4 linked regions of the Drosophila melanogaster genome follow. The gene in region 2 interacts genetically with the main gene of each other region. Each region holds a gene or a part of one and is shown on either strand. Other genes may lie near its edges. The genes, in order: RhoGEF2, Rho1, cv-c and br.

Region 1 (6,862 bases), 920 kb from region 2:
CAGCAGAAAAGCAACAATTTTTTCAATATGAAATAGCGCTGTGGATATTTCATTGTTTTAAAGTCTTCGCTTTGAGTGACTAATTTTCTATCCGTCGTTATCTATCAAATCTTTATCTTCATTTACTCAGATTAGTTGTCACCAATACCATTTTACTAATCTTGTAAAACCTTTTATCGCCTTTTTATACACACTGATTTGGTGACTACCGTCTCTGTGGTTACAATTAATTCATTTTTATTGTTCCTTTACTAAACCATGATGGTTGATTAGCTAGTTAGTTTGTATACCCTTTAAAATACTAGACTTCAGGCATTGAATAGAACCAGCGGATTGCCAGCTCAATCATCTATGAGAGGTAATCAATGCTGAATAATTTCATGGCGGAACTGCTTCTGCTCTTCGCCAACGATTCCCATGTGGTATGCTGGGTTTTAAAGAGCAGATAGCTAGATTAGTGGCTAATCAAGACCTCGCTGTGAATGCGACAAACATGTAACGAAAGTCACGGCCAAAGCCAAAGCCAAGCGATTTGTCGTCGCTGGTGGGTCTCTTTTAATTGAGCTAAAATTAAATCAGCCAGAAGAATAGATACACTTTAATTGCCGTTTATTTGATCATTTTGCATGTGAATGGAATGGATAAACATACATATGTACATATGTATGTCCCAGTATACAGTGTGTACCACCTTCGGACCCGTTCATATACCGGAATATAATAAAAGCTCATTTCCCGCCTGGTGAATTCATCATTATGATGAGTTATTTCCATAACAGCCGGGCGGGCAGGCAAGACCTCCAAAAATCAAATGTTTACATTAACTTTTTTGACTGATTGGCCCATGTCAATAGCATGTCTCTCCGTTTGATCCAAGTGAATTCTCTTTCTGTCTAAATTTAGCTGCCTAATTTTGAGGAAATCTTGCTGCAGCCCGTTGACGGGCTGGCATAAAACCTGTTAAGGCCCACAAATCAGACGACAACACCAGTGGTGGTGAGCTGTTAATAGATTTAAATCATTTTGCATAGGTATATTATACAATTCGTGGTTAAGACACCACCACCAAATGCACACACAAGCATGCTTAGAAAGTCACTGGTTTCGCCAATCTATTTGGGCTAAAACTTCCCTAGGTGGCAATAAAAGAAATAAATGGTAAAATGTGAAAACTGGCCGCTCCCTAAGTTGGTGAGCGTATATATGTATTAAGTCATCCGTTTGGCAGTCGAAACCGCACAAAAACAACCCCAAGCTTGGGGGAACTATTGGTATAAACAATCAGCAAACACAGTGCGTTTCAGAACTGTGAGACGGCGCAAAGTTTCACCTCGTCAATTGGCTATTTTCAAACAACGTTTGCTGACTAATCACGGGTCAAATGAATTAGTAATTGCTTACAAAAGTTGATCGGTGATCTAATGCACAGTTAAATCATCTGTAACTGGCTTAAGAACTATTTAAAATGTAGTAAAATACCTATTATTTTAATATAATTTCGAGGATTCTTAAAGGCTGCTACACTATTTAGGCAACGATCTTACATAAGTTGCTAGTTCTTAAGGGTAGCCCTAATATGTTAATATAAGCACTTAGGTCAAGAATGTGTGAAAGCTTCTTTTATGAGTAAAAATTCTTCCGATTTGATATAATAAGAGCTTTAACTTTTTGTGTGACTAATATCTTCTTCTTCTTCGAGATTTCATTAAAATTATTCAATTCCCACAACCAGTTGACACTGCCTTTGAAATTTGCATTAAACCTGCCTCTATGATGTATATTTGGTATATTTATTAGTATGTGTATAATCGACTGTTGCTTGCGAATAAGAACGAAAATAACAATTATTAAGTCTGTCGAGGACAAAAGATAAATTCTTATCGCAATGCGAGCAATTTAACCAGTGGGAAAGTGGAAAGTGGGGAAATTGTAGCGCATGGAGACAGTGGAGCAGTTGAACTCACCGTTTTTTGATTGATGGGTCATCCATAGGGTTTCCTGCGATGGCTTTTGCTGGCTGCTGTGCGGGTGCGAAGATGCAAATTCAAAGGCATGCGTAAGCCACTCGAAGTCGGAGGATCCCGTGGAGTATTGTTCGCATTGGTGTGGGGCCAGTCACCAGAAGTGGTTGCGGAATGCTTTCGGCAGCTATTTTTAAATTAGCTAGTAAAAACGGGCCGAAATGAATCCAGAAGTGATTTAATTGCCTCGATTTTCGTTGCTTTAGTTCTGTTTTATGATTTTTTGGTTGCACTATTCCAATGGGTTTTGATATGTGTATATATATTTTGCACTGCTACTTTTCACTTAAACCTGTGGGCACACAAAATTCGTTTGAAGACATTTCGGGCATTAATGCATGTACATTAAAATATTTGTTTGCATTTTTTTTTTTTTTTTTTGAGTGGGTGGTGAAGGGTTATGGGGGATGGGGCGGATCGGAGAGGGTTCAAATGCAGGCAGCAATCTCCTTGCAATTTCATTGTTTTTATTCCAACACAGATAACTGAACAGCACACCCACACACTCACGCGCAAGCCATACATATTCCAATGCCTATGGCTCTCTCGCCGCGCTCGTTCTCTCTCACTCTCTCTCGTAATCTCTTGCTTTCTCTGTCACTCGCAGGCAGCAGTTGTTGCTGGTTTTATTGTTGTGCTTTTTGCTGACTAGTTTTCACGAAACATTTAATGGATGACGACTTGGGGTTGGGGGAAAACAAGTTTTTGGCCGAAAAATTGAAATACTAATGCTATACTAATGGGTCAGAGCGGACACACAAGCAGGAAAATTCCAGCGATCCTTTCCAGATTTGCGTATTTTCCATTAGAACAGCTGATTGTTCAATTAATCGCTTGTGTTCAATTAGCGTGACGAAAACCCAAAAAGAAAAACAAAGACTCCCTCTCTTTCTTTGAATTTGCACTGATCTCACTGTTTGTTTACCTAAATAAATCAATTCTTGCAGTTTCACTCCTTTTTAATTAAACGCAAATATTTAATTGAATAAATATGTATACACACAAACTGGACTGACTGACTGACTGAGTGTGTGTGGGGGTGCGAGTGCGATCATCGCCGCAAACGCAAAGGCAAAACAATATGGCTGCCGCAAGCCACTTGTTAGAGAAAAACAAGGGATTCGAAGCCTCGGAAAGCGTCCAGTTGTTTATCATTTACTCATTAATTCGATCGCTTCCCGCTCCGTCAAGCCGCACATCCCTAAAATCGAATTAAAGCCATGTACTGCAGTTCAAGAGTTCAGCACTCGACGCACTCACACACGCGCGTCGCTCACTAACACTCACTGCCACCGATGGGCGAGTGTGGAAAATAAATACACATATGCCGTCATACATTCGATGCCCCTATAAGCGCGCTGCGTCTGTCTGCGTGCGATGGGTTAGAGATCATTTTTAGACAAATTTGCGTACAATATTTCCTGGCAGTTGCAAGCTCGCGATTTTGCCATTGACGAGCGTGCACAAATGCACTTAAATATGTATGAATTTTACGCCAGTGTGTGGGTGCGCGGAATGCATGTAGTCACTTTTTTTATTTATTGCTTTTGTTGCTGCAGTGAGCTCACGCGTAGCGAGTTGCGCATCATTCTTTCTCTGCTTCGCCACTTTCGCCACGCACTTACTTAAAACGCACTCGTATTGTATTCCATAAAGACACGAAAAATGTTTTTATTTTTTTCACTTATCGCGCCATCAACACGCACACGACGTTCTTTTCTTTTCAGCTTGAAAATTGGAATGAAATGACGAGAAAGAGCGCATATCTGCCAGTGTTGAAAAGGGCTTTAGTTCGGTACGGAATTCAGTACCTAAAACTGGTACAAACAAGGTACCTTGCCGATGATACAAGTTAGCTATTGGTTTTTATTCATTGTTTTAAATGCTTCTTAATATATTTCGTACGTGTGTTCATTAAGGCAATGTGTGTAAATCTTAGCTTATAAAAATTATAGCCCAAACTTGACTTGAACTTTTTAATAAAACCAAAATGCAAACATTGAGGCCAAAGCCTTTTTATTAATTTAAGTCAGCTTAGAAGTAGACGAGCCACAATCCAGATACGTACCTATTTATTGGACCGCAACACTGATATCCATACACGAACTTAGCAGCACTGTCCCGGGACCAATGCTTTTGCAACACTTGATCTGGCGTGCCTGGCAGAAATCAAAACAAACGCACAGCACAACCACCCACACAGACATGCATGCATACATACATACGGACAGCACAAAGAGCAGACAACAAAACCGCGTTCTGTGTTTTTCGTGAAATGTCGTTTATTTGGTGGCGGTTACTCGCGTTGACAAACAAAGGCAGGGCAACGCACCCACCGCCCTCTGAGATATCATACTTGGTTAGCTGCATACATTCGCAAATGTAAGCGCCAACAACTAATGTTTGCCTAGGACAAATCCGGACCCAGGAGGTAGAAGAGCAAAACCATCAGGTAGTAGAGCAGTAATCCTATAAATGCCATGTTGTAGTTTGGACTTTCCTGTTTCGTGCGCCGCCTAGGGACGCACTTCTGGCGTCATGAACTGGCCTCCTCCAGAATTGGTGTCGCCCTCGCCACTCCGCCGTTCTTCTCCAGAACCAGGTTGCCAACTACATCAGCACCCTCGCTATCCGAATCCTGCATAAGTGGGCTGTCGAGAATTCGAAGATTTTTTAAGTCTTCATACTGATTGGCAATATCCAACGTAACTGGGTCAGGTGGAGGTTGAAGTCTGCTTAACTCCAGCAACTGCAGATGGTAGTAGACACCCTCGTCATCTATGGCATAAAAGTGGGAGAAGTGGGCGTCTGTGAAGAACTGACGAGCTTCATTTCCCACAAATTTAACGCAGGCCAGGAGTTCCGGACGGATGGCATTGCCGCGCTTATTCCGCCACAGTTCCGCAGTCCCTCGGTTCACCGGATGAAACTCGTCGGCAACGAATGTCACATCTACATCGATGTCCGCTGCAATGGGCGCCGCATCCACAGCATCCTCTTGTGTAACACTGTGCTGCTTATGGCGTCGACTGCGCCGCCGTTTTTGCTCGCGCTCCAATTGATTGTTGCGCATGTGCGTCACATTCCAGAAGCACAGCTGCTCCGCGCAGCTGATCAGGAGCAACTTACATGGCGAGAATAGCAATTGCCGGATGCAGTGCTCGTGGACCTCTTCAATGCTGTAGATCAGTTGAACTTTTCTGTTTTCAACGGCAAAGAGCTGTTGGGAAATGTATAATTAGCAGGAAATAATTATGAAACGAATTTGTAAGACGTATGTATACCTCTAAAGTGCCATTTTCGAAACCCATAGCCAACATGGTACCATCATCCGTGGCTACCAAATAGCTGATCTTGGCCTTCTGGGCGATCTCTTCTTCGCAAATCTGTTCGTACCTTAGTTGGTTACAGCTGAATATTAAACGGAATACCTGTCGTTGGAAATAATTGATAATTGTTTAATGATATTATGTTTAGCAAACCCACATCGATGATGTTGTTTTCGTAGGCCAGAAAGAGAAGACTGTTCTTTAGATCAAAGCCGACAATGTATTCCTCCGAATCCTTTGGTTTCACGAATGCAGATGGGTTAGCTATATCCAGATGCTGTTGGTAAATATTGAAATCAAATACTGCACTTTTACTCGCATAAACTTCAATTAAGAACACTCACACAGACTCCGTGGTCGGAAAACAAAATGATATACTGTCCTTCCTGCAAGGACGCGTACTTGGTACTAACATCCATCATCAATGGCCACTGGTCATTGGGTTGCAGCGGATCTATCTTTTCCAGCTGGAATATCACAGTCTTCTGGGCACTGTGTGCCGACGCCACCAGAATGTTGGGACTGACCTGTTTGAGGTAATCAATGGGCTCCTCTATAAACTGCTGAGGTAGCGCTGTATCATGAATAACATCTATTATCACTCCGTCCACATAGCCAACGAAAATCTGTTCGTCGTTAAAGGCGGATATGGCATTTATCTTACAGTTACTGGCAGCATGAGTGGGTGTGATTGTGGACCATTCGGAAATTCTAGAAATGGCCGGTTTAATTAGGTGAATGCGCTCCTTGGAGTCCACAGCCAGAAGTTGCGTCCGCTCTCTGGTCATGTCCATCAGAGAACGCAGATAGACATTAGGCTCCAAGCAAGCCTTTGTCATCACGCTTATCTCATCTGCACTGTGAACCCAGGCGATTTCCCTGTTTTGATGTGAATTCGAGCCGCTTACAGAGCGCAATGTGTGCACATGGACCACCTGTTTTCCCTTAGCGCCGCACAAAACAATGTACTTATAGACAGGATCAAACAGCTCGTATATATCCACACACTCTATATGTTCGCTGACATTGCTGCGTAGCACGGGATCAGAGATTTTCAGATCATACACAATAAGTCCCTCGGACGTGCCCAGCAGTAGGTAACGTCCGTCAGTCGAACGCTTTCCGCAGGTGATGAAACTTCCTTCTGGCAGTTGCACTGCCTCCGATTGCAAACTAACCGAAAGACCTGGCAAAAAATTGAGCCGCCATACGCTGTACTTAAAAATCAGCAACACGGTGGCGGTCTTACTCCTTTCGTCAAATACATCTAAGGCCAACGGCGTGTCGTTTTCGACATTAAAAACATGTAGTTCCAGCGTATTGCTGGAACCGTTGGTCAAATCCCATACAGTAAGTGTGCAATTTGAGGTGCAGACCACGTAATATCGCTTTAAAACCTGAACGAAACACCGTATTCCCGACTGCATCGTTTTCAAAACAGGCACGTGCGACAGTTTGAACTCCTGATCTTGTTCGTCCCAATTCAAAATACTCACATCACCATTGATGAAT
Region 2 (8,980 bases):
AGACACTCCCAACGGCTGGCAGTCTGTAAGAGATTTGGCATTTCCAGTCAGGCAGGAACTGAGACGTGCCAGAAGATTGGAGTACCGCATGTCCTTGGCGCTGAGACTCCAAGTTCCTTTTTCCCTTGCAGGCACTGCACTTATCAGCTTATGGAGTGTGTATTTTGGTATTTCATTGATCTTGAACTCCTCCGCAGAGTATATAATTGGTTTTATCTGCGACAGACTGTTCCGGTCGAGGACAGAATCAAAGTTATTGATTGGAATGGGACTGGCAATCTGTACAAGATCCGTGGGACGAATGCGATCCACCAGCAGAGCCATCAATTCGATACCAAATCCCTTATTATAGCCCATCGTATTTATCAGCCAAGGAATATTTGAATACTTGGCATCGTTCTGAATGTTTTGGACTAGCTGAATAACTGCTCGGGCATACTGCTCTGCGCACAAGACAATGTTGGTGTGGCCCACGACAATGGCATGTTCCGGCTGCCTGTTGTACAGGAAGCCCGGTCCCAGAAGGGGCTCATCAATTACGGTGCAAGAAATAGTCTGGGGTACAAATATTTCCGGCTGACCAATGTCCAGGTCGATGAGCAGCATGGATGGGAATTGACCCAGATTTCGGTTGATGAGGTAACGCAATAAACTAGACTTTCCGACGCCCTTACCACCGGCTACGATTATTCGGCTCGTTGCATGCATTTGTAACTTATTCCAAACCTGCGGAACTTGGAGAGTGCGACTTTGATCGCTCGATTGAATCAGACAGTGCAACAGGGTTTCACTTTGGCCAAATGGTCGATTGGAAGAATTGACAAGTGGGAATACATTTTGCGCCATGTGCTTGCCAAAGGTATCGACGAGCTGCTGGGCACTTGTGTTTCGGTGGAGCAGTACTATTGCATTCGTCTGACGCTGAAAGCTGGTCTTAATCCTGTCTAGCTGGGCGCGTGTAAAGTTCTTGTTGAGTTCTTCCCAATTTACCTCATCTTTTACAGGTTTTTTAGTCTTGGTTGGCGAAATAGATACCCAATTAAGGCCTTTAGGAGAATAAATTGTGATTGCTTCCTGCCTGCGTGCTCTGTAACCATTTACTGATATTTGACCACAGAGTAGAGTCAACACTAGTGTGCCATAAACTTCGAGGTCCTCCTTAATCACGGCCAGCACATGATTGCTCTTCAGACTGTTCTCAAAGACGCTAAGCTCAGTGGGATTCGCTTGCGGATTTCTGTAAAACGGGACATCGCTTGGTTGGAGATAATTTTCCTTTTCTGGTGTTACAACTTCAGGCAGTGATACCTCATCATTCTCTTCGGTTTCAATTGCAACTTCAGACTCCTTCTTTGGGGGCACACTGCTTAAGTTTTTTACAACAATATCCATAACACTTGACTGTTCAATACGTTCTTGCTTTTTTTCCACAGGCGGATCGTCGAAGATTTCCTCTATAATAAGCGGCTCTCTTTGCATACCCACAGGTGGATGATCGAAGAATCCCTCAATGTCAGGTGGCTCATAAGTTGAATCGAGGTCGTCGGTGTCGAAGATATCGCTTCCGAATTCTTCACTATCGCTGTCACTAACATCCTCCATATCGCTATATTCACTGTAGAAATCTCCATCACTATCATAGTCTGCGCTGCTTGTGTCTTCACTGTCAGACTCTTCGCTGTCAAATTCCTCCGATCCAAAGTCATCGCTATCTTCTGGCTCATAATCAATGTCATCTTCGTCGCTGTCAGTTTCTTCCTGTGCACTTTTAAATACCTTAATCTTTCGAACTGTTCCACTGCCATCCCCATCCAACAAAAGAGGTTGGTATTCATCGTGTTCAAAAGGAGGAAGAATATCTGATAACTTGTATTCGGGGCCTTTGCATTTGACCTTAAAAATCTTTGGATCTTTAAGAAATGTCTCGTCTATTTCTTCAACTACATCGTTTTCAGAGTCTAAAAAACATAGTTTAAGTTAAGAAACAAGAGTAATATTAAAAATTCCTTACCACTTTCAATTAAATAATCGTCTTCTTCACTCCAATCATCCAATGAATTCATTTCAATGTCACTTGTTTCCGCTGCAGTACCAATTATCTCTACTACTTTACCATTTTGTACGACCTTCATTGAGCTCTTGTTTCCATTTACCTTATGTTTCTTAGATAAACTTGCTTCTTTTGTTTTATTTGGCGTCTTGACTTTGGTTTTCTTAGGAGCTAATTCTGAAAAATACATATATATTAAAATAAAATGAGGTTGTAATTCTGGATCTAATGCATACCATTTATACTATGAACCTTGGGAATAGGAAGCTTAGCACTTTTGCTTGTTGCTGCAGATTTTTTAGCTGCAACATTTGAGGATTTATTTACAGGATTCTTTTTGGGTAGGGTATTATCCTTTTTAAGCCTCTTCTGGGATGGTGAACTGTCTGGATTCGACACATTATTGGAAAGAGGTCTCTTTGCGCCGGCTGTCTTATTTTTCTTGGATTTTTTGGGCGACTCCATCTGGGCTTTTTGAATCATTGTTTCCGAAATCTTTGCAGGATTGCTGGCCACCTTTGAAATAACTTTTTTCTTTGGAACAGCAGGTGGGTGTTGTGGTTTTTCCGGCTTACGGCGACCAGAGGCTAGTTCTCGCTGTTCGGTGAGCTGGAAGCTCAGTTTCATTTCTTTCAGAATATGTTCGTCAAGCATTCCTTTTCAGTTTTTTGCTGAACTACCAATACTTCCCGGGCCATGCGACCGCAAATTTAAGAAGAAGAGCAAGAATAACATATGTGCGGTGTTACCAGTCGTGGTCGGTCATGGGAATAACGCGCACAGAGTTGCCATCGATGAGAACTATCGATTGGGTTAATAACAGCCCTGCGCTCGAAGGCGTTGGTTGGTCATCGAGCGTTCATCCCGCTACCGAGAAATGAAACGGATGAACATTGTTCATCGTCATTTTGCATGGGAAAAAATCGTCGAGTTCAATTCGAATTTTTGTAATTGCATTAACTTTTATACGATATAGCTAAACGGTAGACGCATAAGAATCAACAAATTTGTGCCATTTTGTAAGCAAATTAAGTGTCGAATTCGTGCTGAGTGTTGTGAAATCACCAATATAAATTGTAAGTGGCCGAAAGAGCAGAAGTGAAAAAATTCCACACAGCACGCACACAAATGCACGCACGCCCAGCCAGAGGCGAACAGACACACGCACACACACACACACACAGCCATACCGAGAGTGGATGATGAGATGTTTTTGGAATAAAGTGTGAGCGGGACGGGCGCGGAGAGAGGAGTTTCCTGGAGTGTTGGAGAGAGGGGTGGAGAAGCGGGCGGCCCTATGACGCGACCAAAATGAAAATGCGAATGCGAAAAACCGTAAAGAAAAACGGGAAAAACTCGGCTAACGGACAATGGACAATGGCCAGATAAGAAAGAACCCCACACTTTATACTATTAGATCGCCGTCCAGCCGCAAGTATGACTAAGTGTGTGCGCGAGCGGGAGAGGGCTATCGGAAAAGAGAGCGAGCGCGCGAGTGTATTTGTGCTGTGTGTCCACCAGTGTGCGTGTGACTGTATGCGAGTGTGTGTGTGGCTTTTTCATTTTGATAATTTTTTGAACAGGCGCTCGTTCAGTTTTCGCGAATATATAAAACAGAACGGCTGACTCGGATTCGGAATCGAAAATTGTATTCGGATTCAGAATCGGACTCGGAATCCTCGGGCATCCGCTGCACTTGCATTGCATCTAGCTACAGTTTGATTTTGCCTTTTGCAGAACTTCCAATGACGACGATTCGCAAGAAATTGGTAATTGTCGGCGACGGTGCCTGCGGTAAAACTTGCCTTCTGATTGTCTTCAGCAAAGATCAGTTCCCCGAGGTCTATGTGCCCACCGTATTCGAGAATTATGTGGCCGACATCGAGGTGGATGGCAAACAGGTAAGCCCCTTTTCCCGGACAGGCCCGCCCCTCCCCTAACTACCCGTCCCGTCCACCACTCTGAATGCCACCCCCAACCGGTGGCTGACCCCCCTCCCCTGATAACCCCACCCTGCCATCCAAGTGATAATCGTCTGATCTCGTTTTATAATTTGTGTGCATTCTCAATTCATTCCGTTTTTCAAGTGCGCGTATCCTCCTTACACTTTCCACCCGCCTCTGTGTGTGTGTGTGTGTGTGTGTGTGTGTGTGCGGGTGTGTGTTCCCATGGGTGTGTGTTTATTGTTCTCTTGTTTGTGCCACCCACAACTTCACCCACACCTTGGTCGTTGTATTTCCTTTTCTTCGCCTGTAAAATGAAATGAGTCAATATCGCCTCATGCCCACAGACGCATCCATAAATAAAGGTGTCTGGAAAAGCAAAAGAAAAATTAAGATCATTTTTGGTTAAGTGGAGTGCAAATTTGGATTTTTCCGAAGAATTCAAAGTTTTGATAGCAGTGATTAAGTCACACTTGGGCACATTTCCCCACACTTACACGCACACATGCTCAACAGAGAGTTGGCAGCACACACACACACACAGAAGTAGTGCTGCTCCCTTCCTTCCGCTCGTTTTCTTTTCTTTTTATTTTGTATTTGTCTTATACAAGTCCGTTGCGCACATACAGTTTAATGCGTTGCGCCGCCCCCCGCTCTTTCTGCTGCTCTCTCGGGCGCTCTCACTCTTACTCTTTCTCCCTGCCTACCTGTACTCTCTTCTAAGGGGGGGGAGCGCTCTCCCGCTCCACCGCGCACTCCCTTACTCTATGGAATGTAATGTGCGTTTTCCATTGGGGCATCAAGTCATGATTTGGCTATATGTTCGTTCATATATTCCATTTGGGATCTACAGTATTTTCAGGCGCTTTTTTTCGAAATAAACACTGTGTGTTTGCCTTTGCTGCGCAATATGGCGGGTTTTCAATTTTCAGTTTCTGTTTGTGTTTCTGTTTGGATAGCGTTTACATACACACAAGTTCACGTCATTCCACTTCGCCTCGCTTCGATGTGATTAATTCGTTTGGCATTTCCGTCAAGTTCCTTGCTCACACTCTCGTACTCGCACTCATGCTATCTTCAACTCGAACTTGTCCCATTCTCCTCCGAGCCCGCATCGCACCGTCCCGTGCCACAAAAAGCCCCATCTATCTATAACCCTGACGACACCGCAACTGCAAGCGTAACTCTCAATCATAATCCGCATCCGATTCTCCAGGTGGAGCTGGCCTTGTGGGATACGGCCGGGCAGGAGGACTACGACAGACTACGACCGCTGAGCTATCCCGACACTGACGTCATACTGATGTGTTTCTCAGTGGATTCACCCGATTCGCTAGAAAATATTCCTGAAAAATGGACCCCAGAGGTGAGTTTAACTGGAATTACAGAACAGTTTCTATCAGACGATCGTAAACAAGTATGGTACTATATATATATATACTATACGGAACTAACAAGTCTAGACAAAATATGTTTTTAATTTTTATGTAATGATGCAAATTTGGAAAAAGTTGAACTTTTAACTCCAGTTAAAATATATTAAACATTTTTGAAGTTATCGAATGCATTTGCTTATGATATGGAATCTTTAAGACTATGCATCTCTGTGTTCTTGTTTATGTCATTGAAGCTATCTGAAAGACTGGTTTTGGTTTAGAACGAGGAAAGTTTAATAGAATTGTTGGTTATTTCTAGTTTAATCACTAAAAATAGTCTGCTATGAGCCAATTTGCTTTGACTTTCTGAATCATTTCCTTACTTCTCAGCCTTTAATTTATAATGATAGATATAGATAAGAAGAAAGTAAGTGGTTCCCAATTACGAATTACTTGTTTTTGCAGTTCGACTATATGGAATCTGATATCAAAATATGATACTAATCCTTACTACATTATTGCAGGTCAAACACTTTTGTCCAAATGTTCCAATCATTTTGGTAGGAAATAAGAAAGATTTGCGAAATGATCCCAACACAATTCGGGTACGTATACGCGCTGTTGAACGAGGTGAACTTGCAGCACTAAACTAAACTTGATTTTACAGGATCTAGCAAAAATGAAGCAGGAGCCGGTGAAGCCGCAGGAGGGTCGCGCCATGGCCGAGAAGATTAATGCCTTTGCCTATTTGGAGTGTTCGGCTAAGTCCAAGGAGGGTGTGCGAGATGTTTTCGAGACGGCAACTAGGGCCGCGCTGCAAGTCAAAAAGAGGAAGAAGACCAGATGCCTTTTGCTCTAAAAGAGCAAATCAACAACATGAAAATCTTTACCACACACACACACAGCAAAAACAACAGCATAAACACACACAAACACACATACACACCTTTTACAACAATAACGAGCTGAACAACAACCACTCAACAACAACATCAAGAACAACCAGAACATCGGATACACGAAGCTGCACCACCACCCAACCAGCAACAAACATGAGCAGAAAACAGAGAGCTTGAGCTAGAAGATCAGCGGAGGAGGGATGCAGCGAGATATAAGGGAAGGCAGCACCAAGTAGAATGTCAAATGCGGATTTGATTTTATATACAGTCTAGTGTAGTTATAAACCGAAGTAAACAACAGTAATAACTCTGGCATTATTATTTGTAAAAACTAGGGCAGAGCAGATCAATCAGTCAGCCACTGCAAGCAAAAAATATATATCGATATATGTAAACATATTCAAGTTGTGTCCGTTTCTGTCCACCCCCTCCTCCTAGATGTATGTTATTATTTCGTTAACTGTGTTGTCAAGTGTAGAGTCGGCTGTGGCTGGACGAGATTGTGTCGTATGCGAGGGTGAGTGAGTCAGGTGAATCAGTGGAATTAGGAACAGAATCGGAAACGGAATCGGATGTTGGATCCCGGGGTCCAAGGAGGTCGTAGGCGTCAAGATGAGAGTTATGTTCCCATTAAATCTATCAAATACAGAGAGACCAGGCCGCCAATAGGAGTTGGAAGCGAAACTACATTACAAGAGCCGAACTAAACACAAAACAAAACAAAACAAAAACGATAAATGTTTATTTAACTAAACGTAAGCCACAAATGAGATGCATTCAGTTTTCGCGTGGGAGATGCTAAGAGGGAAAATTTTTGATGAAGTGAAAAACTATTTCGAGCGCATTAAGCGAGTTTTTAATATTTGTACTTTGCATTAAAACGAGTGGAAAACATAAAAAAAAAAAGATACTACAAAACAACCAAACAACTATATGAAGAGTATTTTATGATTTTATAAAATACGATTATACATATAATTATACTATACAGTACATATGTGTATGTCTCTTTTTTTGTATTTTGTACCGTCAATCGTGTAATTCTCACACAGAAGTTGAAAAACTCGAAGATGCATCAGATACAACCAAACTATATTATACTTATGAATAAACAGTACATTTGATCTACTCTTGGTTTAACTAACTGTTTTCTTATTTGGCCGGGCATCGAATTTTATTAGGCTAAGATAATGGATTTAAATCCGGGGAATACCCGCCCTTTAAAGTCAAAACACTTATCTTTAACGGGGTTAAAAAAATCTTTATTGAGGGTATTGTTTTTGTTTATTTTGTGCTTTTGTATTTAATTTTTTTTTTTACATTTAAAATGTACATAACATTATGAATCAAAATGTTTTGGTTTTTCATCGATTAGGTATTAGGTTTCACAATATTATTCCCGAACAGGTATGTCGTTTTCGAAACAACATGGACACGACACATTGCTTTGAACATCTAGTTCCCAAGCCTTTTCTCTTAAAACGTACTTTTTAATCGCTTAACTTTCGCGGCGAAAGCAATTCTATTATATTTCTACCCGCATTTGATTCGTTTTCGTGTTGGAGCTGTTGTTTTTCTTTTTTTCGTCAGTCGATCTGTTTGGTTCGAACGGTTGCAGGATTCGCAATAACAATTAATTATTAGTAATTATGGGTAGTCCATTCAACTGTTTTTTGGGATCATGTAACAAACAGAGTAATTAAAGCCGTGTTAGTATTTTGTTTCCGGTGATGCAGTTAACATTGATGAGAGGAACTCATGGTGATTGCTTAGAGAACGTGATGTGTGGTTTCTTGTGGTAAAAGTAATCAACAGATTTCGTTAAACTAATAATAAATAAACTTAGGCGTAACACGTGTGTCCTTAACAATATAAACAATAGACTTTTCTCAAACTTAAACAACAAATGCATCGGCTGTCGTGGACTTAAATTATCAATTTGGGCTTGGATCTGAAATGAACGCACATTCTCATTCATATTTCATAATTTGCAATGTTCCCGCGTTTTACATACTTCTTAGGTCGATCGATCGATTTATAATATTAGTATACATTAAATTCAACATTTATTCGATTAGTTAAATGTGTGGCTCGTGTAACGTATGTCATGTGCGTGTATTCTGGGTAAATACGTACATACATAAGTTTAAAAATCCTCCAATTCTCTGCCCTTCGCACCTGGCAATTGGCTTTTGGGTTAATCTCCTGGCTAGGATTCAGAGTTGTTCAGATTGTTAGTGGGGGAAGACTCGACCCCTCGATCTTGCTGAATTTAAATGCTTTTGAGCTTTAGCCAATTGCCACACTTGCTTAATCGCTCTCGTCTAGGAATCAACATTAGTAATATTTACTACATAAACATATGTACGTGCATTGTTAATATGTATCTTTTGGATCGGTGCTTAAACGTATTGATATACTCTATCGCTGATCTACTGCCTCGCTATCCTTTCCGGCCAACAACAAGTACTTTAAATAGTTTCCATAACAAATAATAAATAAACCACTGTGGCCATAACAATTAGTTATCTGCTCCTCGATCGGTTAATTTCTCTTTTGTATGTTGTATCTGATGGGTATGTGCTATATACAAAATATAGCAAACAAAAGTTACTTGGTTTTTGTGGTTAATATTGCACTCATTTCAAGGAATCCGCCTCCTGGTCTAGTTAAGGTTTCGTCTGCGCCGGAAAACCAATGCGAAAATGGATC
Region 3 (7,215 bases), on a different chromosome or scaffold from region 2:
TAAACAAACGCAAAAAGACCGGGTGTAGTACTACAGCACATATGTACATACATTTCTCAAAAGTCCGGCCAAAAGGTTAATTATGCAGCCAGAGACTGGGAATTCACAGTGTGCACTATAAGTATTCACATTGTACGAAGATGTAAGTTAGTCAGCGCTCGTCAGTGCGGTTCGTCAATCATTTTCTGGATGGCTTACAAGAAAATCGTGTACGGTTTTTCAGATTGTTTTCCTATTTTTGGTGGTGATCTGTGGTCTGTAAACGTTTTCACTGCATTTTTTACAACCAAACAAATTTTTTGACAAGCAACTGACAGAAATTGACAAGCGGCCGAGCAATGGGCTAATATGCTGTACGGCCAGACCGAAAAGAACCCCACAAACGATATGATGTGAGAGATGGTTCCAGCTGTGAAAAGGTCAACATTTCAGACATTCAGACATGCTGGGTCTGTCGTGCAGAGTTATTGCCTTTTTGCCTTTTTCTTCTCAGCTGGCCTGAGTTGTTGCCTCACTTTCCAACGATGGCCGAAAGAAATGAAAAGTGTGGCCTGAGAACCCGAGAAAGGCCTTTCTTCTGCGCGGACCAACGACTTTGACCAGCTAATATTGACAAATTAAAAGCAGGTTAATGTGTCTTTAATGTTTGTGTAGTTTTCTCCGGTGGGGCTAGGAATCTTAGATCCCAAACATCCATTGATGCAACATATGTGCGCGCCGGCATGTAAAAATATACACAAAGATCGGCGCGTATCTTTAAGAACCGACATAAAATCCAGATACATTTATGCACACGTGTGGTAGTGCGGTTGTGTGAGTGTGTGCTGTGTGTGTGGAAACTGGCAGCCAAAGGCAAGGCAATTCAAAAGTCATTGAGGCGCAAAAGTCAAGCATAAATATTTCAAATAATGTTTGCTGGCCCCGCTGGCATTGGGTCTTGGCTCTTTGGTCTTGGATCTTTGTAAACCCAACTAAAACTGCTCGGCTTCTCTTTCCCCCGCCATGCTACCCCTCTCTTTCTCACACTATCAGTTTGGGTGTTTGTGTGTGTGGCATAATTTGGTGAGAGTTCGAGTTCAACAGCTGAACAAAAAACAGCACCGAGCACATTAAGTTTGAAATAAGAACAACACTATAGAACTCAAAACCGTACACATAAAAAATCGATGTTTTAATACAATAATAATAATAACACAAAAAAGAAGTGCTCAGTAAAATATTATTCATGTCTTTATGTAATTAAGAAATTTTTACTTAAAAGAGCAGATAGATCTTATAAGATTTCAAAATTTTCCTCCTTATGCTTGAATTTAATCATAATATCAGATTTAAAACCGATCATATTGTGTTTCTGTGTAGCGATCGGAAAACTGAGAACAGAGAATGGAGCACTGAGAACTGGGGAATCGTAGAACCGGAGAACCGGAGCTCCCAGCACGATGAGATGAAAAATTCTAGAGAGAGGCGGGCGTTTTTTGTAATAGACGATGTCTACGCTGATGACCTCAGTTAAAAATAAATAATGCCTTACATTGTTTGGAATTAGTGGCTGTTTCGTTACTCCAGTCCGTAGATGAGATCTGCATCGAGATTCGAGATTCTGGCCTTAAGTTCAGGGTGGCGCTCAGCGATCGGTGATCATGAAGATGCTCTGGTGAGGGGTTGGCGACAATAAGACAAAACATGGGGCGCCCAAACAAATCATTTTGTCAACTCAGCTTGTACCCGGCAGCTGGAGCAGAGACATAGAGACATGCATACATATTTGTGTAAATTCTTGTACGACATTTATCACACACGAAATTGATGAACCTGCCCCGCCTGATAAATGTTTGCGAGCTGCCGAACAAGGGGAAAGCGATTTTACTAAATCAGGGAAAATCTGGGCAGAGATTTGCTTCTAAGCTGCTGGATTGGGTGTAACATGGTTTTGTTTAATTAAAAATCAGAAGCGAGTTTTTTACGGAAGATGTTTTAGGATGGGAGATGTCTTGTTTATTTTGTTTATGTTTTGAATTTCATATCTAAATAAATGAAATAATATTAAAAATCCTAACTGCATGTAACTTATAAACATTGAATTATCAATTTTTTTGGGTCTTTCCCAACCAGAAGATGAAGAACGCCAGGCCAGTCGAAATATTGTTTCAGTTTTATTTACCTGAAATTTGCTATTTTATCAAGCACCCAGCACAAGTGTTTCGCTGTGAACTTATTTACATACTTATCGGTACGTATGTGGAGTATAAACAACAAAGGCAGAAACAACGAAAAACGAGTTTCTATATATAAGGTGGCTATGCTGTAAAATAATAAAGGGCGGGCCGTATCAAGAGTTGTTGTTATGGTAGACAAAACGGGTCGCCAGTTTCAGTTTCTCGGGGGTTAAAACGATCGACATACTCCGATGACGCATTTTAGAACCGGAAATGCTACGCCTGCCATTTGGCTGAGTTCTCAATAAGTATGCAAATCGGATTCGGATTGTTTGTGCACTTTTCGGTGATTATTCCCATGAATTAAAAACAAACGCTGGAGGGAAAAAGCAGCACTCGACCAGAGTGTAAACAAACTACAATACATAGCGATTATGATTTATGAATCAAAATAAAGCGCTGACAATTCAAACAGCAGCGGAAATGGTAAAGAAAGCCGATCAGAACTCGTATAAGGCCAATAAAAACGATCGCAGATAACTCGAACGCGTCGCGTAGATTATGCCAGCGACTAACTAACTGTAAACATATACTATTTAGGTTATCACTATCTTTTTCAGTTCGCAGCTGACAAGATAAAGTTGTACCACAAAGTCAAAGACTAGAAAACCGAGAAACTCAGGTAAATTTTGGGGAGTGAAAGTAAGTGGCAAACCCGGCGACAATCACAAGATGTATCTAAAACTCTGACGTTTCGTTCTAGGAAGCCCCGAAGCCACCCATAAACAAGCGACGTCTGGATTTCTCGAGATCTGCAGATCTTTATGGACCTGCAGATAAGCTGGATGGATTGTTTATCCTACCCCGAAGATAAGCGACATGGGGTCCCGAAGCTCTATTTACCTTTTTAGATGCGTTTGCGGTTGCTGCTCGCGAAGAGAGTATCTGTAGCTTTGGGTTTTCTTTATTTCTTTGATTTCACAACACCATCGGAGATTCTATAAACACCAAATAGAATTTTACTTTCGTATATTGCTTCACAGAACTTTTCTTTTCGTATAAATCAGATGTGTAATTTCTCTTTTATTTTCGTTGTTTCGTTTATTTTTTTATTTTTCTGAATCACTTGTATTTATTTCTCGTTTTCAACAACAACATTTCGTCATGTTTTTTTCTATGGGGCGTACAAAAAATGTAGTAAACGTAATCGAAAACAAAAGCACGCGTTCTCTTACTCGAAAGAGAGAAAGAGACGGGCGGTGAGGCAGAGAAAGAGACAGGGATAGAGATAGAAAGGGGGAAACAGAAACACACGCACACTACAAATAAACAAAAACGGAACCGAACCGCAAAGAAAACCGATTTTTATGCACTATTTAATTTTATATATTTTTCTGCACGCAGTTTTTATTTTTACTTTTCTGGTTTCGAAAGATGTTTATTTTTTATTATGGGAAGTGTTAAAACCGTGCGAAATTCAAGCCCAACAAACGATGCGTTTGTTTTCTTTGGCACTGCAATTTCCGCGCTACATTTTCGTATTTTCTATTTGCTTTTCGAAAAACAAGAGATTTCTTTATTGTTTAATGGAGAGTGCCTTTTTAATCGCGGTTGTGTGAGTGTGCCTCTGTTTATCGCGTTCGTTATTTGTTGTTGACTCCGAAAAATTCGTTCACACCCGCGCTCATTCATAAAACGTATCCAAAACACACGATGTCACGCACTCACAGTTTTTTAGCTTATGTTTCTGAAAATGATTATTAACACTTGATGCAGTATTTTGCAATATATTTACATCTCTTGACCCGCACGTTTTTTCGGATCCTAAATTCAATGTTCACCTTTTTCGTAAAAACCTGAGAACTGCCAATAAACAACGGTTTTTTGGATTCAGTATGTTTTTAAAAAATTTGAATAACAGAGGAGCGCTTTAAATTTGCCCGACTTTTCCCGGTCGAGGTGGAAACCCAACTGTTGTATCCAACAAACTCGTGGTTGGATCACCCTGCTTACCCGCTTTGTTTTCAATGGAAATGTTAAGATACAGCGTTTTAGCGGTTAACAGACGCTATTTCTATGGGAACTCAAAACGTTCGCTTGCTGTTCACATGGAGTTAACATGCGCGAGACCCGCGATTACCGGTTAACAGAGCGAGCTAACAGCAAGAATTATGAAGAGAGCAACATGTTGCGCTCAAACTGCGCCAACAGCTCAATTCGAGCCGATCGGAGCGATCTCAAACGACCTCAAGCATGTTGCAGTTCGAGAGGAAATCCCCTAGAATTGTTTATTGAAAGTAAAAACAGTTGGAAAAACTCCAAGCATATGGATGTATTTGTAGCTCTTACACACCCATTCGAATGTGTTTGTAAATTTACACTAACAAGCGGTGATAAAATCCCATGTTAGTCTTCTCTATGGCTTATTTAGTGTGTTTGGGTTTCTGATTTTATGACCCGGGCCTCATCTTTGTGCAGCCTCTTTCAGGCTTTATCGACTGGCATCTCCCTTAGTTCTTATCAGTGGGGCATTGTCTTATCTGCAGATTTATGGCCCAACGCTCATTTAATAGCCCGATTCCTGGAAGTCGACTTAACACTTTCGTTGTCTCAATTTGATTAGCGCCTGCATTGGCTTAACACTTTTTCACCCATAAAATTGTGTGAACCAAAACGAAAGCGAGACAAACTAACTGTATATAATGATAATGAAAAACTCACAAGTGAGCTGTGGACTATTTAATCACTTTACTTTTGTAACCTACTAAAACAAAACTAATGTTCCTAGTCAGAAGAACAAATTATATATTACTAATCATAATATAATCATGATTTAAAGCAACTTACGTTTCAAGTGCAATAAAATACTCAATAACCGGTTAGCAGAGTTCTACGATTTGTGTAAATGAATAATTATCTAATTAGATAGCTAAACTTTTAATTTAAAATCCTTCAAGTCTGTAATTTAGTTAAAAATACAGATATGACCACAGTTTGAAAACCATAAAGTTAATGGCATAATGAGCCTTTTGAATACCATTAATAATTTGTAGGAGTATAAGATAAGAGGAAAAAAATCATATAAACACCTCTAACTGGCAGTTAATTAGTTGCAGCTAATTGGTGGTGCTTAGTTAATAAATATTAAAACCGAAGACGTTTGTAAGGTCCAAGAATAAAGCACGTGAAATTATAAATCATTCTTATGGAGGAGAACGAACTCTTGTTCCGACCAAATTGTTGAATGAACCAAGACAGCTAACAACAATTCGTCAGGATTAGCCGTGTCAACTCTTTCCTGTTTTTGTGCCATCTCCTTATTTTTCCATTCTATTGGCTTTTCTCTTGCGTTTTCTCTTCTCGTTCCCTCCGCATTTCATAACGTTTTGAGGTGTGTTCGCCGGTCGGTCTCATCCTTATCGAAGGTGCGCATCAACGTCGCAGAGAGATATACCCATTTACCCATAACCATTCCCGACCCGATCTACGTGCTCGGGTTCTCTTGCCGGCTTTGAAATCGAAACTGCCCATTGTGTTGAAATCTAAGCGAGCGTGTGAGGAGCTCCCCAATCTCCGAATGAATCCCAGTCCCTTCATGAACTCCAGATTCCAATTCAGAAACTCCATGCCGTGTGATGTGCTGCATGCTTGATCGATAGCGTCTGGCCCCCTTGATTTCCAACGAAAGGTAAACACATCAAAAGCAAAAATATTGAGAAACAAAAAGATGCCACGCAGATATTTTCGGAAATATTTTGAATAGTTTTCAATGCCAATGGCATCGGGTGAAATTTGTCTTAGACAGTGCACTGCAAAAAATGCACCTAGTCCAGCACTTTCTCTAATTAGAATATGAAGTCAATTATTATATTTTTCTTCAACATTATTATGCTATTAATAATCATATAAAAACATAAATTTTAAAGCAATCTTTTGAATTTGTATACTTACAAAGCAGTTGTTTTCCTGTTATATTTTCTCGCTGTACGTGTACTTTTCACTTTGGCATAAATAATGCCGTATGAAATGCGATAAACAGAGTTATATATTTGCACACAGCGGGAAGCTGGCCAATAAAGTTGTATGGGATTTTCCATAATGCAATGCGCCGCACCGAGTTAAAACCAAACCGAAACCGAAGCGAGTGAAAAGTGCCATAAAAAAGGCAATGCTCGCTTCGCTCTTGCACTCACTCAGCGACATCATTCTGTTAATGGTCGCACTGTCTCCAAACGGTGCAATATGCAGATTTTGTGGCATAGGCAGAAGATAGGGCGGAATACCCCCCCCCCCTATTTTGCCGCACACCCCTAAATGCATTTGCGCCATTTGTTGGCCTTGCCGTTTGGCTGATAAGTCGAGTTTTTATGGACGAGCGCGCATTTAACTTGATTATAAACGACGGCAGGCGGCCGGGCCATATAAAATCGCCTTTCATTATGGCCAAGGCATGTGAAATTAATAAGCAAGTCGACCAGCCGGGCGGTCCAACATTTTGGCCAAAATCTCAACACTACCCGTTGCCGCCCAAAGTTCGTTGCCTAAGTCTTTTGTTTTTATTGTTCGTTTTTTTTTTTATTTGTTTTGTTTTCGCCAGGCCGAAACAACCCGCTGCGCGTGTTTGTATGCAAACAAGCTCCAAAAGCCGCTATAAATGTTCATTAATTCAAATTGATTCTAATCGCGACGCCTTCATTAATCTAAGCGCCACCCCACGCACTGCATTTCTATTGGCCGCAAATTATTTATTGATGAGCCTTGCCGCGAAATCTGCTGCCGGTTGCAGCCACAATTGCATGATTAATGGGCGGATACCTGGAGTGTCCATGAAGTCCAGGGAGTCGCAGAATAGGACCCTTGTTCTATGACAAACGATCGTATTTATGGCTCTATTCACCATCCACAGGTAGTCACGTCTCTGCGCGTGTTTGCCTTTTACCTTTGGAATCCTTGGCTAGTTCACTTCCGCCTGCCAGCCACTTGTTACATGGCGGGCAAACAAGAAAACACATTTTAAGTGCTGTTTGTTTTGACCGGGAAGCGGGGACCCCAGAGCCGG
Region 4 (7,227 bases), on a different chromosome or scaffold from region 2:
TTATAAGATATAAGACGACCCTCGATGTCTCGCCTGTGTCTCCCAAGTCCCCCGTCCAACTTCAAATGAAAGCTGAGAACCTCTTCGCTTGAAAAAGTACACAGTAGAAGAACAAGAAGCACAAGTGAAAAACACAAAACTGTCAACGAAAGTGCAGGAAATAAACGAAAAAATTAACCAGCGATCCGACCGTTGGCAGTGCATCGAAGAAGAAGCCCAACCCATTCCCATACACATGACCATACCCCTACCCATTTCCAATCCCATTCCCCGTGACGTCCTAGTACCCCACAACTATGAACATGACACTCATGACCAACTGACTGACTGAGCAAGCCGAGCAGGAAGAAGCAGCAGGGAAAGCGCAGAGCAGAAGAAAGGGGAGTTGCAGTGCTAAGTGCAGAAGAAAACAAAGTGAAGAATTGTGCACTCCGAACGAGAATTGCTCTGGGATAAGGAAATGTATTGTTCAAAAGTAATTAAATGACGTATGTACTTTTAGGACTAAAAATCCTACTCATAAAATAGTAAGAAATGATTTCTTCAAGATGCTTTAAAAATTACTCCAAATTTGAGATTAAGTATTTTCAAAATCTTTGGCGTACTTGTCTTCCATCTTCAATTGGCTGTCTCCTGTGCCGGGGCAGAAATAGAAACATCGCGAATGAAGCAGAGGCAGGTCGCAGAAGAAAGGAGAATTGAGAATTGAGCGCGGAGAATCGAGAACGGAGAACGAAGAACGCGAGGGTGACAGAGACAGAGGCAGAGGCAAAAGGGGAAAACTGGAGAAGAGTTATCTCCTAGCCTTTGTGCCTGTCCCATTTGTTTGTCTATCCGGCTTTTGGCCTTGGAGTAACCGTTTCCGAGAACTTGGGAACTCGCCTATATGTATGTCCATGTGTCTATATGTCTATAGCGATAACTATGCACTTTGTATGTCCCTGTCCTCGTCTGTTGGCTCTTCGCATTCGCGTTTGTGTCTGATGTTTTCTGTGTTTATTTTGCAACTCCTCGACTCACCGCTCGCAATTTGCGGCGGCCTTGAATGACACGATCATTACGCTGATCGTGCTCATCATGATCATCATCGTGATCCCTATTTGTTACTGCGACGGATGCATTTGTGGCTGCTGTTGCACCCAAACAAGTGCTCCGTTGCTAGAACATGAGTCATGTGAGTGTGAGTGGAGAGCTGGCAACTGAAACTCTGGGGAGCTGCTGCTGCTCGTCTGCGTGCTTTGTCCACTTGTGGCGATGCGGCTCTCAATTGGCCGCAGTTTCCAGTTGATTCCAGTTGATTGGGCTTCAAGGCTAACGGAAGTGCTACTGGTTGCTAGTCTGTTGTGCAGTTTCTCTAACTGCCCGCTTCTGTCTCTGAGCCTCTGATTACCACTAGCCCCAAGTGGGTCGCCCAGGCCGTTACCCCGGTTCGGATGTCCTTTTACTGTTGCTCCACTCATAAGCTTCCTGGAACTCAAGCTGGCACTGGAGTGGGCACTTGTGCCCTTGCCGCACTGCATTTGCAGCATTTACAATCTGTGGCAGCAACAATTGCAGTGCGGCAACAACAAGTTATGCGCCGACAACCTTGAATGTCGGCCAGTCGCACACAGATGGCTAGCACGCACACGCAGACATCCTAATACACAGACACTGACACAGGCACAGGCACAGACACAGTACGCAGACAGCGTCTAGTCGGGGCCACCACTTTGGCGAGTCTCCTCCATCTCCATCTCCTCCGTCTCCTCTGTCTCCGCCGCCTCTGTTTTCCTAGCATCCAGCTATCCGACAGCCACCAGCCACCACATTCGCATCCCGAGCTTCACAGCACGTCCCACGTGTGTTCCCCACACCCCCAGCCCCTCCTGGCTCTGACTGTGGCTCTGGCTGTGGCGTAGTCTGGCTGCGTCTCTAGTTTCTGTCGTTTTATGCTTTTTTCGCTCTTCCTTTTTGCTAGGCACGCTTCGTTGGCTGCCTGCAATTTTCATTCAGTTTTTCTCTCGTCGCGCGACTTTCCCACCCCGCCCCCACCGCTTCTTTTCCTCCTCTTCCTCGCGTTGCAGGAATGCAGAAAAATGTGTTAGTGGAGTAGTTGCCATTACGTCACCTTGCTGTGACTGTGCCTGTGCCCATGTCCGTGTGAGTGCGCCAGTGTGCGAGTGTATGGGTGCCGGTCTTTGTGGCTTGCAGATGGGGAATGGGAATGGCTGATGATGGTTGTGGATGGGGATAGAAATGGGGACGGCGGAGTGTTGTTGTCGTTTGAGTGACTCGTCTGGGTCTCGGTCTGGGTCTGGGTCGCCCTAACAACTGGGAGAACAAAAAGAAGAAGCTGGCGTTACCACCTTTCCTACAGATCGGTGGGTGGAGCAGGAGAAGCAGCAGGAGTAGTGGGGACCCTGTCACCAAACCGCTTGACTGCGTGCCTGTCTGGCCATTTGAGTCTCGCTGTTGGCCCAGTTCCAGAAGCAAACCCATTGAAAGCAAAAGTTTCAGAAACACCACCGCTCCTCACGTGACTTACCTGCCGTAGAGCTAATCCTGAGATTGATTCCTGAGACCGATTGCGATCGAAATAGAATCAGCAAAAGCCTGAGTGGGTTGCTAAAAGGATACTATGTATATAACGAGAAACATCAACAGAAAAAAAAATATAAACGCAACGAAAACAAAATTGGCGTGGAAGCAAGCTGCTTGCGGATGTGCAGATATACAGATATGCGGATATGCGGATGCCGATATTATGTGAACTTGCGAATTCAGCGCGACTTGCACTTTGCGCGAGCGATTTACGGTACTCAGTTTGCAGTTTGCAATTCGCAATTGGCGATGAGCTGCCACACGACGTTTGCTCAGTGCGACGCTGAACAGCAAACTGCAGTTCCGCCGTTTCGGGCTGGCTTTCGATCGTTCCCGAACCCTGCCCAACCGGCCTTCGTGTTCGGCCGAGTGCAGATCCTCAGCTGCCTTCGCCTTGGCCGTGAGCTTCACGAAGCCTCAGTCTGACTGACAGACTGCAGCCGAAAAAGCGAGGAGTGGCGGGTAGCGGACAAGTGGGGAAGTGGGGAAGTGGGGAAGTGTGGAAGTGTAGAAGTGGAACAATGCAGCGCAGAGTCCAGGGGTGGAGAAGCTGAAACGGGGCTGAAAGAGGCGACTGAGGCTACTGTGCTGCCCTGCTTCCTGCAGTGCATCTGTATCTGTAACAGTATATGTGTCTGTATCTGTATATGTATATGTAGCTGCATCTGTATCTGTATCTGTATCCGTACACTCTGTGCGTCTTTGTGTGCCTTTGTATGCAGATGCACCGAAATTTTTGGACAGTTCGAAGGGAGGGGTCTAGGCCCGGTCCGTCCGCTTTTGTGACTCTTCATCAAAGTGCTAATGAGGAGAGCCGAGCCCAAAGGCAGAGAGGGAGAGAGCAGGCAGCTGCATCGGATGACTCAAATGTCCTTCTTATGGATCGGGCCACGAATCCGAATCAAATTTCAGTGTGTATCTGTACCTGCAACCGTGTGTGAGAATATGGATGTGTGTGTGTGTGTATGTCGATATAGATCTGGATGCTAGGCTCCCTCTGCCCCTAGATCAAGGAGCTTCCAGCACGTTCGGTTTGCCCTACAAAGCAAAGCGGATGGGGTCGGATGGGATGTAGGAAACCCTTACCTGGATGGTGCGGTTGTAGTTGCGCTCAGTAGGTGCATCCTTGCTCATGGCGGCGCTTCATTGGGTCGACTACTTGGGGATGCACACTGATTATTCACTTGAACTTTTGGGGCTTTGGGTTTTTGGGGTTGGCTTTCGCTTTTTCCGCTCCTGATTCTGCGATTCAGTGATTTAGCTATTCTTGGATTCTTAGATTCTTTTGATTCAAAACGCGCGCGAATCGCGCACTAGATGGTTTGCGTCCTTTGGTCTTTGCTTGGGTGCACTTGACAAAAAACACAAAAAAATAGAACAGAGGGAATTGTCCAGTCCTCGTGTGTGTGTTGGATACTGCTGTGGTGCGTTGGTGCGGTGGTGCGAGGGTAGGCGTGGGGTGGGCACTAATGCTATTCAATTCGGGCTCAAACTTAGAAATGGAAATTGAAATTGTGCGTTTAGGCTGAACTAACTTTAGTAACTGAACCGATCGAATTAAAAAGCTCAACTGAGTTCCGAAAAAATGCAGTTAAATGTGTTGGGCTTGTGCCGCTGCCCTCTGCCAGTGTGCGTGTGTATTGGTGTGTGCGCGAGTGTGTGCGTCTGCCCAATTGAATCAGAGAATTCGCTGTGCACCAGTGTTTGTGATATATATGTGTGTGTGTGTATATACTTATGCCGCCTGTATGTTTCATTCGCTTTTTTCGCTTCTTGCTTTTTACTTTTTACTTTTTGCCTTATTTGCTCGCTTTTTTGTTATATACTTCTCGTGTGCGATTGTGTGTTTCCTTCGCTTTTTTGGAGTGCAGCGACGTCGACGGCGGCGGCAGCGGCAGCAGTGCGATCTGCGATCTGCGATCTGCGTTCTGCGATCAACTCGATCCGATCGCTGCAGTTTACAGCGCTGCCTGCAGCGCAGTCGCCAAAAAAACGAGCAAATTTTCTGCGCATGCGACGGCGGCGAAGCCGAGCAAGCGAAAATTGCGTTTTTTTCGGGGGTTCCATGTGTGTGGTTGTGGTTTTTTTATTATTTTTTTTTCTGCTGTCCGTATATTCTGTTGTGTTTTCTGGTATTGCCCATTTAGAAGTTTTGTTTATTCATTGTCAGGCCGACAAAATTGGGGGAAATGAAATGCAAAGTCGTCGGCGAGCGAACGAATCAACGAGCGCCGCCCACACACCGATGCAATTACAAACGCGAATGTTTGGGGCAGATCCGCAGATCGGCAGCGGCAAATTGTAAATAGAGTGATATGGAGCGAGAGGGGTAAGGGGAATGGGAACGGGTAGGGGAATATGCAACTTTCCCCCTATGTAACTCCAAAGATACAGAAAGCGGTACATACGCACACAAAGTCGGCGGCGATCGGAGCGTTTTTTTTTTTAGGCAGAATATCGTCGTGCGTCTTCGGCTCGGAATTGCCCGATTTCACGACCCGCCTGTACCCCCTTCCCACCATACCCCCACAGAGGGTTCCAATTGAAAGTGTAGCCCACATTTCGAGCCCCATCCCAAACGCAAACCCAAATCCAAAGTCGGCCTGTTTTTAGGGCCTTCCCCTGCCTTCCCTCCCTTGCGTCACCCTTTGGAATTGCATTTTCTGCTGATGTTGGTGAAGAGTTGTTTAATATTTTGGTTACCATTACCATTACCATTACCGCATTTTATTACATGGCTCCCCTGTTTGCCATAACCCAGATTCCCATTTCCCTGCTCCCCCGCCCCACCTCCTGGCACGCACAAAGACTTAAGACCGAAGACTGCAGAGCGAAGATTTGCTGGCCCTGAGGAGAAACTGAGCGACTGAGTCTGAGAAACTTGTTGCCACTTGCATCTTGTTTGCCAGTTTTTTTTTTTGTCCGAATTTAATTGTTTTTGCAGCGTTTTTATTTTACTGCTGCATCCCCTTGTTGTTGTCGCCGATATTTTTATGAGCTGTTTTTGGTTTTTTTATTTTTTAGATTCATGCGTGGCGATTTTGGTTTTTTAATTCTGCTGGTCTCGCACTCACGTTAGCATTTTTCAAGAATTGTCTTGAGTGTTGTTTTGTTAAGGTTTCCCTGTCTGCAGTGACCTCTTGCCGATTCATAAACGTATAAATGTATCTACACGTACCATATACACAACATTACCTACGTACCCATAATGCCTTTATTGCTGCGTCTCGTTCGGTTTATGGTTGTTTCAAGATCATCGCAAATGTCACCGAGTCACAGATTAGCCAGAAAGAGGCGAGTCGCGCGGGCAGGGACCACTGTAGTCGCTCTAAGCTCCGCTCCTTTGTTGGGTCTCCGGTTTCGGGTTGGGTGCTTTGCAATTACAACCGGCATTAACCTCTAGGCGGCGCAAACGGAGTCGCAGGCAGCCAACAACCTCGACAACAACCTGACGGCGTAGACGCCGACGTCGAAGGCAGAAGGCAGAAAACAGCGACTGCGAAGGCGAAATGATCACATTGAACTTGTCGATGTCGTTTGTTCTAATTGAAACTGCAGTGGGTTAGTCACCCGCAGTCACTCGCTCCCGCTCACGCACTGGCCATCTCCATCCGCCGACGTCGATCTCTCTTCGCCTGCATATCGGGCGTATACGTAATACGCGAGGAGGTCAACGACGGAACCGCCAGCGATATAGATGGGGCGCGAGCGAGAGAGAGAGTGAGAATTAGAGACTGCCCTCGCCAGCCGTGAAACACCAGTGTTTACACGAGAAGCGCTTTGATCAAGTTCAACGCCCGCGATCCAGTCGATCCAGTGCCATTTCGGAATACAAAATACAAAATACGAATGCGAATGCGAATACGAATACGAATCCGAAATGACTGGGGAATGTGCGATCAGAGCGCGGAGGAAGTGCAGCAAATCTAAATAATGGGTTTGGGAAAGATCCCGTATCTGGCACACGAAGATAGTCAAGTGCACGAGGTCGTAAACAATATCGGCATACAATATTTTCCTAGCTTCCTCTTCGTGAAAATTACAAATACCATAGGATACCATTGGCAATGCCAACTATATGATGTATCGTACAAGTTTGCCATCGATTGGAATATATATACATATATGAAAACTCGAGGTGTTTTTAAATGCTTAGCATTGAATTCAGCGTACAAATATTTGGTTATCTACGTATATATATTATATATGTACCAGAAAATGGGATATACCGCGAAACACTGGTTTCGAATATGATTTGGAAGGGAAGCACATTGGTGGTGGAATTGATCAATACATAAACAAAGACCCTTTGATGGAAAAATCCAACCTGCATCCGTACTTTCAGATTAAGCAGCAGTACATGTACTGCCACAATAAATACCGAATCCACTAAAATGAGCACACTTACATGTCTGAATTTTCGGCTGAGTCAGGTGCATGGGATCCCCTAGAGCTGCTCTGGATTCCGGTGGGTGATCCGACTCTGGCTGAGATCCTGGAACTCCGCACGCCACACACTCTCACTTTTACTGGGACAGTTTGTCAGGGTTTTTGTTGCGGTTGCTCGCTACTCTATCGGTTGGTTCAGATTGCATTTGATAGTATTTTGATTCGTCCCCGGATCGACTGGTTTATCACTTGATT

Evidence for each region.
Region 1: of Rho1 (region 2) and RhoGEF2, changing one suppresses a phenotype caused by changing the other (phenotypic suppression), as found in Drosophila melanogaster (2 studies listed by BioGRID).
Region 3: of Rho1 (region 2) and cv-c, changing one suppresses a phenotype caused by changing the other (phenotypic suppression), as found in Drosophila melanogaster (4 studies listed by BioGRID).
Region 4: of Rho1 (region 2) and br, changing one enhances a phenotype caused by changing the other (phenotypic enhancement), as found in Drosophila melanogaster (2 studies listed by BioGRID).

What each region holds. Positions count from the first base shown.
Region 1 is NT_033778.4:17,024,124-17,030,985, reverse strand, and holds the start of RhoGEF2 (Rho guanine nucleotide exchange factor 2), read right to left. Parts: upstream 3,797-6,862; 5' UTR 3,647-3,796; intron 2,314-3,646; 5' UTR 1,991-2,313; coding exon 1,965-1,990; intron 1-1,964. Other genes in the region: Dark (Death-associated APAF1-related killer), read right to left, coding at 4,558-5,241, 5,306-5,452, 5,508-5,627, 5,695-6,862.
Region 2 is NT_033778.4:16,099,824-16,108,803, forward strand, and holds Rho1 (Rho1), read left to right. Parts: upstream 1-2,863; 5' UTR 2,864-3,069; exon of another isoform or gene 3,070-3,126; intron 3,127-3,273; exon of another isoform or gene 3,274-3,485; intron 3,486-3,642; exon of another isoform or gene 3,643-3,787; 5' UTR 3,788-3,795; coding exon 3,796-3,951; intron 3,952-5,209; coding exon 5,210-5,359; intron 5,360-5,893; coding exon 5,894-5,974; intron 5,975-6,036; coding exon 6,037-6,228; 3' UTR 6,229-7,406; downstream 7,407-8,980. Other genes in the region: CG8414 (uncharacterized protein), read right to left, coding at 1-1,958, 2,012-2,227, 2,287-2,704; Ric (Ras-related protein interacting with calmodulin), read right to left, coding at 8,934-8,980. UniProt on the Drosophila melanogaster protein: Has a role in regulating actin cytoskeletal organization: required during early development for proper execution of morphogenetic movements of individual cells and groups of cells important for the formation of the embryonic body plan.
Region 3 is NT_033777.3:14,477,583-14,484,797, forward strand, and holds the start of cv-c (crossveinless c), read right to left. Parts: upstream 4,132-7,215; 5' UTR 3,998-4,131; exon of another isoform or gene 3,331-3,997; 5' UTR 3,060-3,330; intron 1-3,059.
Region 4 is NC_004354.4:1,609,246-1,616,472, reverse strand, and holds the start of br (broad), read right to left. Parts: upstream 4,133-7,227; 5' UTR 3,670-4,132; intron 2,817-3,669; exon of another isoform or gene 2,528-2,816; intron 1-2,527.